3 linked regions of the Cricetulus griseus genome follow. The protein of the gene in region 1 interacts with the protein of each later gene in a pairwise test. Links are inferred from orthologs where the notes say so. Each region holds a gene or a part of one and is shown in the gene's direction. Other genes may lie near its edges.

Evidence for each region.
Region 2: the proteins of Ipcef1 (region 1) and Cyth4 interact in binary tests that used the Homo sapiens proteins (3 or more experiments, as listed by UniProt). The link is inferred for Cricetulus griseus from reciprocal best matches to the Homo sapiens genes IPCEF1 and CYTH4.
Region 3: the proteins of Ipcef1 (region 1) and Cyth3 interact in binary tests that used the Homo sapiens proteins (3 or more experiments, as listed by UniProt). The link is inferred for Cricetulus griseus from reciprocal best matches to the Homo sapiens genes IPCEF1 and CYTH3.

Annotation. Positions count from the first base shown.
Region 1 is NC_048595.1:284,043,256-284,046,127, reverse strand, and holds the end of Ipcef1 (interactor protein for cytohesin exchange factors 1), read left to right. Parts: intron 1-1,331; coding exon 1,332-1,535; 3' UTR 1,536-2,306; downstream 2,307-2,872. UniProt on the Homo sapiens protein: Enhances the promotion of guanine-nucleotide exchange by PSCD2 on ARF6 in a concentration-dependent manner.
Region 2 is NC_048595.1:375,704,815-375,708,465, forward strand, and holds part of Cyth4 (cytohesin-4), read left to right. Parts: intron 1-1,396; coding exon 1,397-1,461; intron 1,462-2,542; coding exon 2,543-2,609; intron 2,610-3,651. UniProt on the Homo sapiens protein: Promotes guanine-nucleotide exchange on ARF1 and ARF5. Promotes the activation of ARF factors through replacement of GDP with GTP.
Region 3 is NC_048597.1:80,124,177-80,128,426, forward strand, and holds the start of Cyth3 (cytohesin-3), read left to right. Parts: upstream 1-1,367; 5' UTR 1,368-1,530; coding exon 1,531-1,564; exon of another isoform or gene 1,565-1,577; intron 1,578-4,250. UniProt on the Homo sapiens protein: Promotes guanine-nucleotide exchange on ARF1 and ARF6. Promotes the activation of ARF factors through replacement of GDP with GTP. Plays a role in the epithelial polarization.

The DNA of each region.
Region 1 (2,872 bases):
TATTTTGTCATCTTTTTTAGTCTTGGTTAATTAATTTACCTGTGTGTGTGTGTGTGTGTGTGTGTGTGTGTGTGTGTGTGTGTGTGTGTGTGTGGTGCATGCATGTGAGTCACTCATGCATGCACATGTGGAAGCCAGAAGAAGTGACATGTCTTTCTCTATTAGTTTCCACTTTTTGACTCTCAGGCAGGTCCATTCATTGAATGAGAAGGGGCCTTTCTGAGAGGTTGACTGTACCAGGAGCCCTGCAGATTCACCTGTCTCTGTCCCCACAGCAATGCTGAGGTTACAGGCACATGCAACTATCCTGGCCTTTTATGTGGGTGCTGCTGGTTCAAACTCAGATTGTCTTAGTTGGGGTGACTATTGCTGTGATAAAACACCATGACCAAAAGCAACTTGGGAAGGAAAGGGTTTATTTGGCTTACACTTCCACATCCCTGTTCATCACCAAGGAAGTTAGGACAGGAGCTCAAACAGGGCAGGAACCTGGAGGCAGGAGCTGATGCAGAGGCCATGGAGGGGTACTGCTTACTGGCTTGCTCAGCCTGTTTTCTTATAGAACCCAGGTGTGGCTCCACCCTCAATGGACTAGACCCTCCCACATTAGTCACTAATTAAGAAAATGCCCTAAGAATTTGCCTAAGTCTGATCTTCTGGAAACAAGTTATCAATTGAGGCTTCCTTCTTTTCTTATAACTTTAGTGAAGCCGAGGAAGCAGCACTGATAGGCTATTTTATACTGGCACACACATTGTTCTGGTGGAAAGTTAGGTATCTCATCTTTGAATAAAAAGGGAAACCATACTTTTCATATATAAATATGTGTGTTAATAGAATATGACAGTAAAAATCATTTAAAAATCTACAAAATTTAAAAAGATATATTTTGTTACCTTATGCCTCAGGTAAAGTACTATGTTCCAGTTTTACTTAGTGAAGTTTGGATGGTCAGAGAAGCACCCGTGTGTACAACTAACTAAGCTTCAGGGCATGCCAGCACCCAGTGACACACACTAACATGGAGTCACCCTACTGTGTGGGGTAATAGATGGGTCAAGGGGCCAGCACAGAAAACAGACTGTCTGGTTCTTTCACTAACCTGGGGAGTGAATATATACAGCTTCTTGGTGGCTTCCACATGTGAAGAGATATTGTGCCAGACCTCAGGCATGTTGAGAGATTAGAATATTAATTTGCAAAACCACTTCGGTAGTGTTGTGGTGGATGGGTCTGTGAGTCTGTGAAAGGGCTGAGGAAGTTGACTCACCAAAGTTCAGATGCTCATGTTCTCACTGATGCCCCTTCCTTCCTGTTTTCTTCTCGGCCAGTGCAAAGAACATGATCTGGCCATGATCAACCAACTGCTGGATGATCCTAAGCTGACAGCCAGGAAGTACAGAGAGTGGAAGGTCATGAACACACTGCTGATCCAGGACATCTATCATCAGCAGCAGGTACCTCAGGACCCTGAAGTTGCCTCCCAGGAACTCAAGAACCCCAGCTCTTCTGACTGTGTTGAGAATTCTCTTTGAGCAGAAACCAGGACTGCTCTCTTCCTTGTGACAGTGCCGTCCAAACCCAGTTCCTGAGGCATCATCCCTCCCTGCTAAGGACAAAGCCAGGGAGAAGCCAGTTCTGATGCAGTGGAGTCCCGGCTTCCGTGTGTTGTGTTCATCAATATTGGAGTTGTGGAGTTCATCTGAGCAGGCCTATCTTCTGTGCTCCCACTAGGAGCTGGAAGGAATGCTAGGCTCTAGGTGAGATGTCTAAGGGGTAACCCCTCCTTTGCTTTCAAGAGAATTACATTCTACCACAGACAGAAGGCCTGATTTTTACCAGGGATAATAATTCATAGGAACATTCCGTTTTGCAAAAGAAACATGTAGAATCCCTTTTGGTGGGCTGCAGAACTCTATAAAACATTTCAAGTGGAAGCATTTCTCTCGCAGTAGTTTTTGGAGCTGAACATGTGTTAGCAATTGTGGAACACAAGGCTCTTCTTGTCTTTGGTACAGAGAGCAGTGCCTTTTCAACTTGTTGAGCACTTATTTGAAGAGTCTACCCTAGTGGGATAGAGAGTGGGGAGTCCAGGGAAAAGGCATGCTTTCTGTTCCACTCAGAGGACATCTTCTTATGTGCATGCTTTGCCTAGGGTGGGGAATCTGATTAAGGTGGCCCTGCCTCACAATGTCTAGGAGACAGACTATGCATGACAGTTGGAGACCTTTGTCCTCCACCCCAGCTTCTCTGAATAGTGGTAGGAGATAGTAATCCCCACTGCAAGGGATGGCATACTGTGTTCATCCTTGACTGTGGTGCCTAACCCAGTATGAATTTATATCCAGTTTACTTGGGATCCAAATTCTTAAGGTTATTTCTGAATTGTTCTGAACTTAGAAAAGAACCTAGACGAACAAAACAGTTAGGATTGTTTTATTTTTGTATGTTTATGTGTCAAATAGTATGAGATGTGAATAGCTATGTTTCTTATTTAAATGTATTTATAGAAGTGCAAATTATAGTGTTTTGAAAGACAGTGTTCTATTATGTGTTGTTCAATATATATATATATATATATACATATATTCTAGAAGCATATCATTTTTGCTTGAGAAAAATAGGCATACTAATGACTTACTGAAGTTGTGCTGCACTATAGTATGTGAGGAATGCTCAGGAAATCTCATGGGAAAAATTACGGGAGCATGTATTGATAATTATTCATTTTCTGAATGCCTTCCTTCTATTCCTGCTGCCCCTCCTGCTCCACCACTCTTAAATTTCAATGCTTGTTATACATAATTTTCTTACCTTGAACCTTAGGCTAGCTTTTCTACTCATGAAATTTAAAGTTTATGACATTTATGCC
Region 2 (3,651 bases), about 92 Mb from region 1:
CAAGCCCTCGCCTCCTCCCTAATGTACCCTTTGGACAAGGCCACACTAACCCTGGGCTCAGCGCTTGGGTGTTCACCAATTACTGAGATGATCACTACCATGATTGTTAGTGACCTTCAGATTCCTCGATCGTGCCTTGCTCAATCCGGCCTTTGCCTACATTCTTGTCTCCACCTGGGGGGGCTCCTCCCTGTTCTCACATTCCTGCTCCCTCTTCCCAAACCAGGTTAGAACCTACCTCCTCCTCCAGGCTGCCTGCCACCTAGACACACATGCACACTTGATCCCACTCTGCTAGGATTCTATTGAGCACACATGTGTCAGGCTCTTTCTCTGCCATTGCTGTGGTCACTTGCTGCATGGTTACTTTCTTAGCCCCAGAGCCACCCACCCATGATCCCAACATACCCAAACTCGAACTTTATGAAAACAGAGGCTGGGCCTTGCTCACCATTGGACCCCAGCCCCACAGCTAGAGCATATAAGTGCTCAGTCAGCACTGGTAAGGTGTCCCCATTATACATACCTATGGGTGAAAGCCCAGCCAAGATCCCTGGGAACAGGATCTGTATGACCTCGGAGCAAGGGATACTGTACCAGTTCTGATTTCCAGAAACACCCCAGGAGTACCACATCCCAGCACCCCTCATCTTGGGGAGAGGGTGGGTGCCTCTTGGGTCATTTGTTCTGTTCATCTGCTCCTGCAAGGGGTACCAGGATATCTTCCCCCGCCCCTAGCAGTAGGGCAAATGTGGGTGGTGGTCAAGCTGGGGATCTCCTTTGCACAGAGCAATCCCTGGGGTCAGGCTAAGGCAGGCTGGGGTGGAGTAGAGAGCAGCACAGGCCTGAAATTGGGACTGTAGACATGTGAATGCCTTGTCGGCCATGGCTGTTTCCTCTTCCCTCTGTTCCACTGAACTGCATAGCTTCTGGGAGGCCTGTGCTGCTCAGGTACCCTAGGATACCTGGCATGTGACAGGCACTTACTGAAAAGTGACAGAGAAGATGTGATGCCAGACAGGAGGTGTGGTCTGTTCCCTAGGTGGCCAGAGAGAGCCACAGGGGGATTCTGAATGGAGAGCAGTTCCCAAGTTGCCAGCCATGTCTAGTGAGGGCTTGGTGGACAGAGGGCAGTGGCTGACTGCATGGGAAGAGAGAGCAAGCTGGGAATAGGGTCAGGTGTGGGTATAGTGACTCCCACCCCTGAGGCGAGGGCGAGTGGAGGAACAAGGGTACACAGAGGCACTGAGCTCCTGCTCTGAGGGTAAAAGGGCATAGGAGGGAAAGGCTGTGAGAAGGCTGAGGGAAGGCACAGTGAGAGGCCCGAACCACAGGCAGAATGGGAGCTGTGGGGACATCCTGACCTCCAGGCCGACCCTTGTATGTGTGTCCACAGAAGCTAAAGGATGAAATTGCAGATGTGTTTGCCCAAATCGACTGCTTCGAGAGTACTGAGGAGAGGTGAGGAGCCCAGACAGTGGGAGGACCATCCCTGAGTACATCTCACTCCCCGTGTGCCATGGATGGGGGTAGGACCCAAGGAGATGCCACAGCTCCATTCAGACTGTCTGGACCACTCCCCACAAACTCTCAAGGGACCCTTATCCTCCCCCTCTCCATCCCACCTCCCCACACAACCGCCCCACATATTATTTATCAGGAACAGCTGGAAGCAGATGAGCAAAGAAATGTCCCCTGGGCAAGGGTGAAGAAACTCTGGTAAATGGGAACCAGAAGCCTGGCCTGGAGTAGGCCCCACTGGTCCACCTCATCCCACATCCATCATTGGTCACACAGGAAGGCTCCTGCTGGTTCTTTGTCCTAGGAAGGGGCCTTCTCTCTGGGCCTCAGTTTCCCCATTTGTATAAAAAGAAGGTCAGGTTTTCACATAATCTCCCAGATTACAACCTCTTGACACTGTAAAACTAACAAAATGACATTTCAGCTACAAACTGGAAAACAACCTCAATGTTTTCAGTAAGTTTACCTTTGAGTAGGTAGTGTTCATTGTTCTCTTGGGCCAAATGCAGCCATGTGTGCCCAGTAGGCTGGTCATGCCTGTCTGAACTCTAGGGCACTGAACTATAGAACTACACATGGTTACCTGCCCCACCTCCAAGACTTCTGCCTCTCCAGCATCTCATGCACACACACAGCCATGTATGCCCTGGGTGAGGGCAGCAGGCAGTTCTTGCACAGAAGGAAACAGAGGGATAAAGGGACTCACCTCTAGTGGCCTGGCCCAAGAGTATAGCAAGACTTAAGCTCAGGAGCAGCCTCTGGGGTGCATGTTCCTGCTGGCCCCATCATGCCCCAGCCTTCTGCATCCTCCCCAATGAGCTCTGCTGGGCTCCTGGGGGGCTCAGAGTTCAGTGCTCAGCTTGCAGCCCCGCCCCTCGACACCTCCCATCCTGTTCTTGCTCTCCCAGGTGGTCCAGACACAGGGGATACTCTTGGAGTTTCTCTCCTGAGGAAGGGCCCCTGAGGGATTATGGGGACAGTGGCATCTAGAGCCACCATTTTGATCTCCCCCTGTTCACAGCCGGATGGCACAGAAAGAGAAGGAGATGTGTATCGGGAGGAAGAAATTCAACATGGACCCTGCCAAGGTACACATCCAGGGGAGGGGACATGGATCCCACCAAAGTGGGCATCCGGGTGGCCACAGGAGGGTGATGTAGGCCTCACCAAGGTGCAAAGCTGAGCTAAGGGAGGAGGCTGCCTTCTGGGTACCTTTGCAGCTGATTCCACAAGCCAGCAGAGGTGAAAGCTGAGACCCCTCAGTGCCAAGCCTTTGGTCCCCAGCTGGGGCGAGCTTCTGTCCACTCCACAGCACTGCATCCCAAAGATGGGAGGCATGAAGTCCCCCCACTTGGACCCATTCCCTTTCTTCCCTGGCCCTAAGCCCTCCTCTGGAACAGGGTTAAGGCAGTGAGGCCCTTAGGTGGTGAACTCTGTCCCTAGCATGTCTTCCAAGTTCAGGCTGCAGAAACCATTTGAAGCTTGGTTGCCCATGACCTCAGAGTCAGCCTGCAGCCCTTCACTCTGCCAGGTGGCCATGGTTTCCCTCTCCAGTAGGGGCAGGCAACAAAAGGCATACACTGTACTAGGGCAAGGGTCCAGACAGACACAGCTGAGACTGCCTCAGCACATGGATTCCCTTGTCACAGCCACAGGCCCTGGACCACCGCTCCACTTACCTGGCCTCATACAAACGTACACCTATGTTCCCAGCTCTGGCCACAGGGTGCACAGCATCCCAGTCCTTCCATCTAAGAGCAGCAGGGACACAAGATGTCAGAACACCAGAGACCAGTCCATGACCTCCAAAATCTTAGGGGTGACTTTTTGTGCCTGGGCAGCAATGAGAGGGGCTCAGGAGCCTATCTGGCAAAGCTGGCTTCAAGGTGAAAGGAGGCTGGGCATGTCCTCCCATCTCCCACAGAAGGAGAGAGAAGGTCATTGCCATGGAAGCTGGCTACCTCCCAGGTGGGGTCTGTACAGTCTCCTCCTCTTTTGATTTAGCTGGTCTGTGTGACTTTTACACAATGGGCACAGATTGCTGGTGTGATGAAATGAAACTATTTGAAATAATAAGAGTTTGGAGAGAACAAAAGGAGATGCTGAATCACTGAGTCTTAGCACTGTGAC
Region 3 (4,250 bases), on another chromosome or scaffold:
CTGTGCTGGACAGGGATTAGGGTTCAACATCATGGCTACATTTATTTACAAGCCTTAGTTTGTTAATGTTAAAATGCAACCAATCCACAGGAAAAATGAGACTCCGTTGTTATTATACATCCGAGGGATAAAAGGCTGGAATTATCCTAACATTCCGAGGATGAAGAAGGGTGGAGGTGGGGGTGGGGAGAGGCTGACTTCTCAGTGGGCTCATTTTCAGATTATTATTATTGACAGGTCTCTCTAGGTAGGTCGCTGTGGCTGACCTGGAACTCACTATGTAAACTAGCCCACTTTGAATTCATAGAGATCTGCCTGCTGGAATCAAAGGTATTCACCACCACACCCAACTTTTATTATTTTTTAAAATAAGCACTTAAAATTTTTTGTTTAGCTGGGCTTCATGGCGCACCCTTTTAATCTCAGCATTTGGGAGGCAGAGGCTGGTGGCTCTCTAAGTTCGAGGCCAACCAGCGTGAGTTCCAGGATAGCCAGGGCTACACAGAGAAACCTGTCTCAAATTTTTTATTTTATTCTATGTGTATCTGTGTTTTTCTTGTATGCATACATGTGCACGGCAAGCGTGCCTGGTGCTTGTGGAGGCAAGAAAGCATGTCGGATACCCTGAAACGAGTTATAGATGTTTGTGTGCCCCCATGTAGGTGCTAGGATGGAACTGAAGTGATCCAGACAAGCAACCGGTGCTCTTAATTGCTGAGCCAAGCCATCTCTCCAGCTCCTTATTCTTTTTTAAACTTTTATTTTCTTTTTAATTAGGTGTATGTCTGTATGTGGATATGTGCATATGAGTGCAGGTGCCCTTGGAAGCCTGGGTATTGAATCCTTTTTGGAGATGGAGTTACAGGGAGTTTTGAGCTTCCCCGTGTGGGTGCTGGGAACCAAACTATGGTCCCCCTGCAAGAGCAGCAAGTACCTTTTACAGCAAAACGATGTTCCCACACAATTACTATGTGTATGTAATGTGTGGACGCCCACTCATGCCGAGGTCACAGTAAAACTTTATAGTCCGTTCTCTCCTTCTACCTTTATGTGGGGGACCAGCCTTCACTCTAGATCTTTTCCCACTCCCCTACTCCGTGCGCGCGCGGCTCGCAACCCTAGCCGCCTGGATTTGTATAGTGGGGCGTCCACGTGCCCCTGATTGACAGGGCTTCTTCTCCAGGATGCCCAAGAGTGTGAGAATGGAGGTTTGAAGGAGTGTGCTACTCGGCAGGATCCAGGTCTCTGGGTTAGCAGCTACTGCAAGACCGGGCGGGGTTTGGAGGGCGGGACCGCCCGGCGTCGAGTCTCCGCCCACACCGACAAGATGGGCGTGGCTTTTGGCGTCACGTGACCGCGCCCGAGCAGGGAGGCCCCGCCCGGCCCTCCGAGGAGGCCCGGCTGCGACCCGGGCCGCGCGCACTGAGGAGCTCCTCGGTTCTGCTCGCGGCTGCTTCTCCTAGTCCCGGCTTTCAGCTCAGTCGCTCCCGCCGGCTCCGGGCTCGCCGGCTGGCGGGGAGTGGCCTCAAGATGGACGAAGGCGGTGGCGGTGAGGGCGGCAGCGGTGAGTGATGGAGGTGTGGCCCTCTCTCTGGGCGGCCCTGAGGCCGGGGGGTCGCGCTGTGGAGAGCCCAGGCTTGAGGCGTGGGGCCGGGTGTGGGGTGGGGTGTCGGCGACCGTGGGGAGGTGCGCGGGGTGAGGCCGGGGCTTAGGCTTCGCAGCCCTGGTGAGAGGACATGTCGGAGACCGCGGGGTCGTCTCCCAGAACGGTCGCGGGTCGCGGGTTCGAGGCCGGGGTCTCCGCGGCGCAGCTCCAGGTGGCCTTTCCGAGATAGGCGCACATTTCAGGGCGACCTTTCCAGTGTCTCTTCGCCAAGGGCGTCCACGCCCTCCCGAGCACAGCTGTTTCGGACGGGCCCCGCTCCCTTTCAGCTCTCCTCAGGTGTCTGGAGCCAGGGAGCTTGTGGGAAATAATGGGGAGGGGAAAGTTTTCAATTTGGATGTCTCAGGGGTCCAGCGAGGGAGGGGTGGGGAGGTTGGAGATCACGACCGCATCTCTGGTTTTTAGATCTGAAGTGTTCGCTGCAAAAGGTTTAAACGACAAGAGGGACAGGCACCTCGAGTCCGGGTCTGAGCATACATTTTTATCAAATTGAAAAAAATATGCTACCGGGTAGTATAAAAATTTTAAGAGGGAGGATAAATAGCTCTGTAATAGGATCCATATCTGGCATGCCCAAGGCCCTGGGTTTGATCCCCAACGCTTCCAAAAGGAAAATATAATTAAGAAATTAAAGTGATCAGGTGGGATCCCTTTAAGGGTGGGACTCAGGAGCCGTGGCCAGAAGCATGACTCTGACTCCAGGACAGGTGCGTGGTGGCAGCCACCTTCCCAGAAGTGGGCTCTCAGTTCCCGGTGTTGCTCAAGCTGTTTGTGCCTTGAGTTCCATCCTGCTGCAAATGTGCTGCTGGTCGTAAACTACTCAGTGGAATACGAATTATTGTTGTGTCATCTTGTGAATTTGGTTTTCCAAAAACAGTAAGAGTCGCCGTATGTGGAGTGCATCGCTGATTGAAGGGTTAAGTACCCCTCACTTTTACCCCAACACCCCGACCCCAAGTTGAAGCTGTCTGGACTTTTTGCTGACAGAATGATCAGAATCCCGTGTAATAAGGGAGTGTTTAGGGAAAAAAAAGAGTCTTAATTACAGGCTGTTGGAGCAGCTGCCTGTAAGAATCAGCAGTATTGAAGTCTTCCCGGTGAAGTGGTTAATCAAGGTGCCTTCTAGAATTCCAGAGCTTCCCTGAAAGAGACGAGGTGGCTAGGCTGGTAGGAAGTTGGCACCCCTCGTGGCATTTGCCAAGTTCAATTCTCATAGTAAAAGCCAGGGGTAGCACAGTGGCAGTGAGTGGGTGTTTTGTTTATGAAAAGAAGAAACCCAGTTACAAACCCTCCTCCATACCGGCTGCTGGTCTGGAGACACTAGATCCCTGTGGGTGCCTTGTCTTTCGCCTATATCATCACACTTGGACATGGTATCTTAGAAAAGACAGTGGGCAATATTTAAACGTTTGACTTAGGAAACTAGCTGGTTTGGCGATTGCTTTGCAGGTGCTCCAGATTCCCTGAGTCAATAAATTCGAAAGATTTGAAGGGAAAAGCCACACAGAGGGAAAAAACTTAGAAGCCAATGTGTTTCAGCAGTTTGAGAATTACAATAATTCTAATAATTACAATAATATTATCAAAAGGGTTTAAAACTATCTCTGGGCTATTAATATCTCTTCTGGGACTATATCCCAGAGAAACAATCTTAAAATTAAAAAAAGATGTTACATTCAATGATACCTCATTCCATGGTAAAATGTGAAAAATCAAGGAACAGGTAAGATTACTTTGAAGAGACATTAAAAATAAGCAATTAAGGGGCCTGCTGTCAAGACAGCCTGACAGCCTTAATTCAGTCTCCAGGAGCCACATGGTGGAAGGAGAGAACCAACGCCCACAAGTTGTCTTCTGACCTCCATAGGCAAGCAGCAACAAGCTTGCACGAATACGGACAATTTAAAAAAGTTACCAAGAATATGTAGTTATTTTATACATTCTGGTCTAGACAGTGTAAACACTGGTAGCGGTCTGGATTTTTCTTTATATTTCCCAGGTTTCTTGAATAAAAATACATGCATTACTTTCAAATTTGAAAAAAAGAACCTCAGCTTATAAAAGATGTGGATATTTTAAATGTACAGTGTCATTTAATTCACCTTTTTGGAACATTTGACAATGAAGAGATTTAATTGATTTTTCTACTCAACTGCCAGACAGCATGCTAGGTGATAGAAAACAACTTTTAACTTTCATTGATTTTTTTTAATTACTTATCAAAATCTTTCCTCTTACAGTGTGGAAAGACACTTGCAGGTACTTTTGGCAATCCTAGAGTATTTAATTTTGAACCATTGAAAATCTTCCATAATTTTGAAATGTGAGTCATTATATACTTATTTATGAACTTGATGGATTTCTATATAACTCTTTACCTATGGAGGTTTGAAGTTAGCATATAGTTCCTTGTAGTAATCCCATTTCCATTTTCAAAAACTGCTTCACTTTAAAAAATTGTCTCTCTCTCTCTTTCTCTCTCTCTCTCTCTCTCTCTCTCTCTTTAAATCAGCCCTTTGATAAAGCTGTTTCAGTTACCAGGGAGTTACAAAGCATAGCATTATTTGGCATATCATCAGAGTATAGG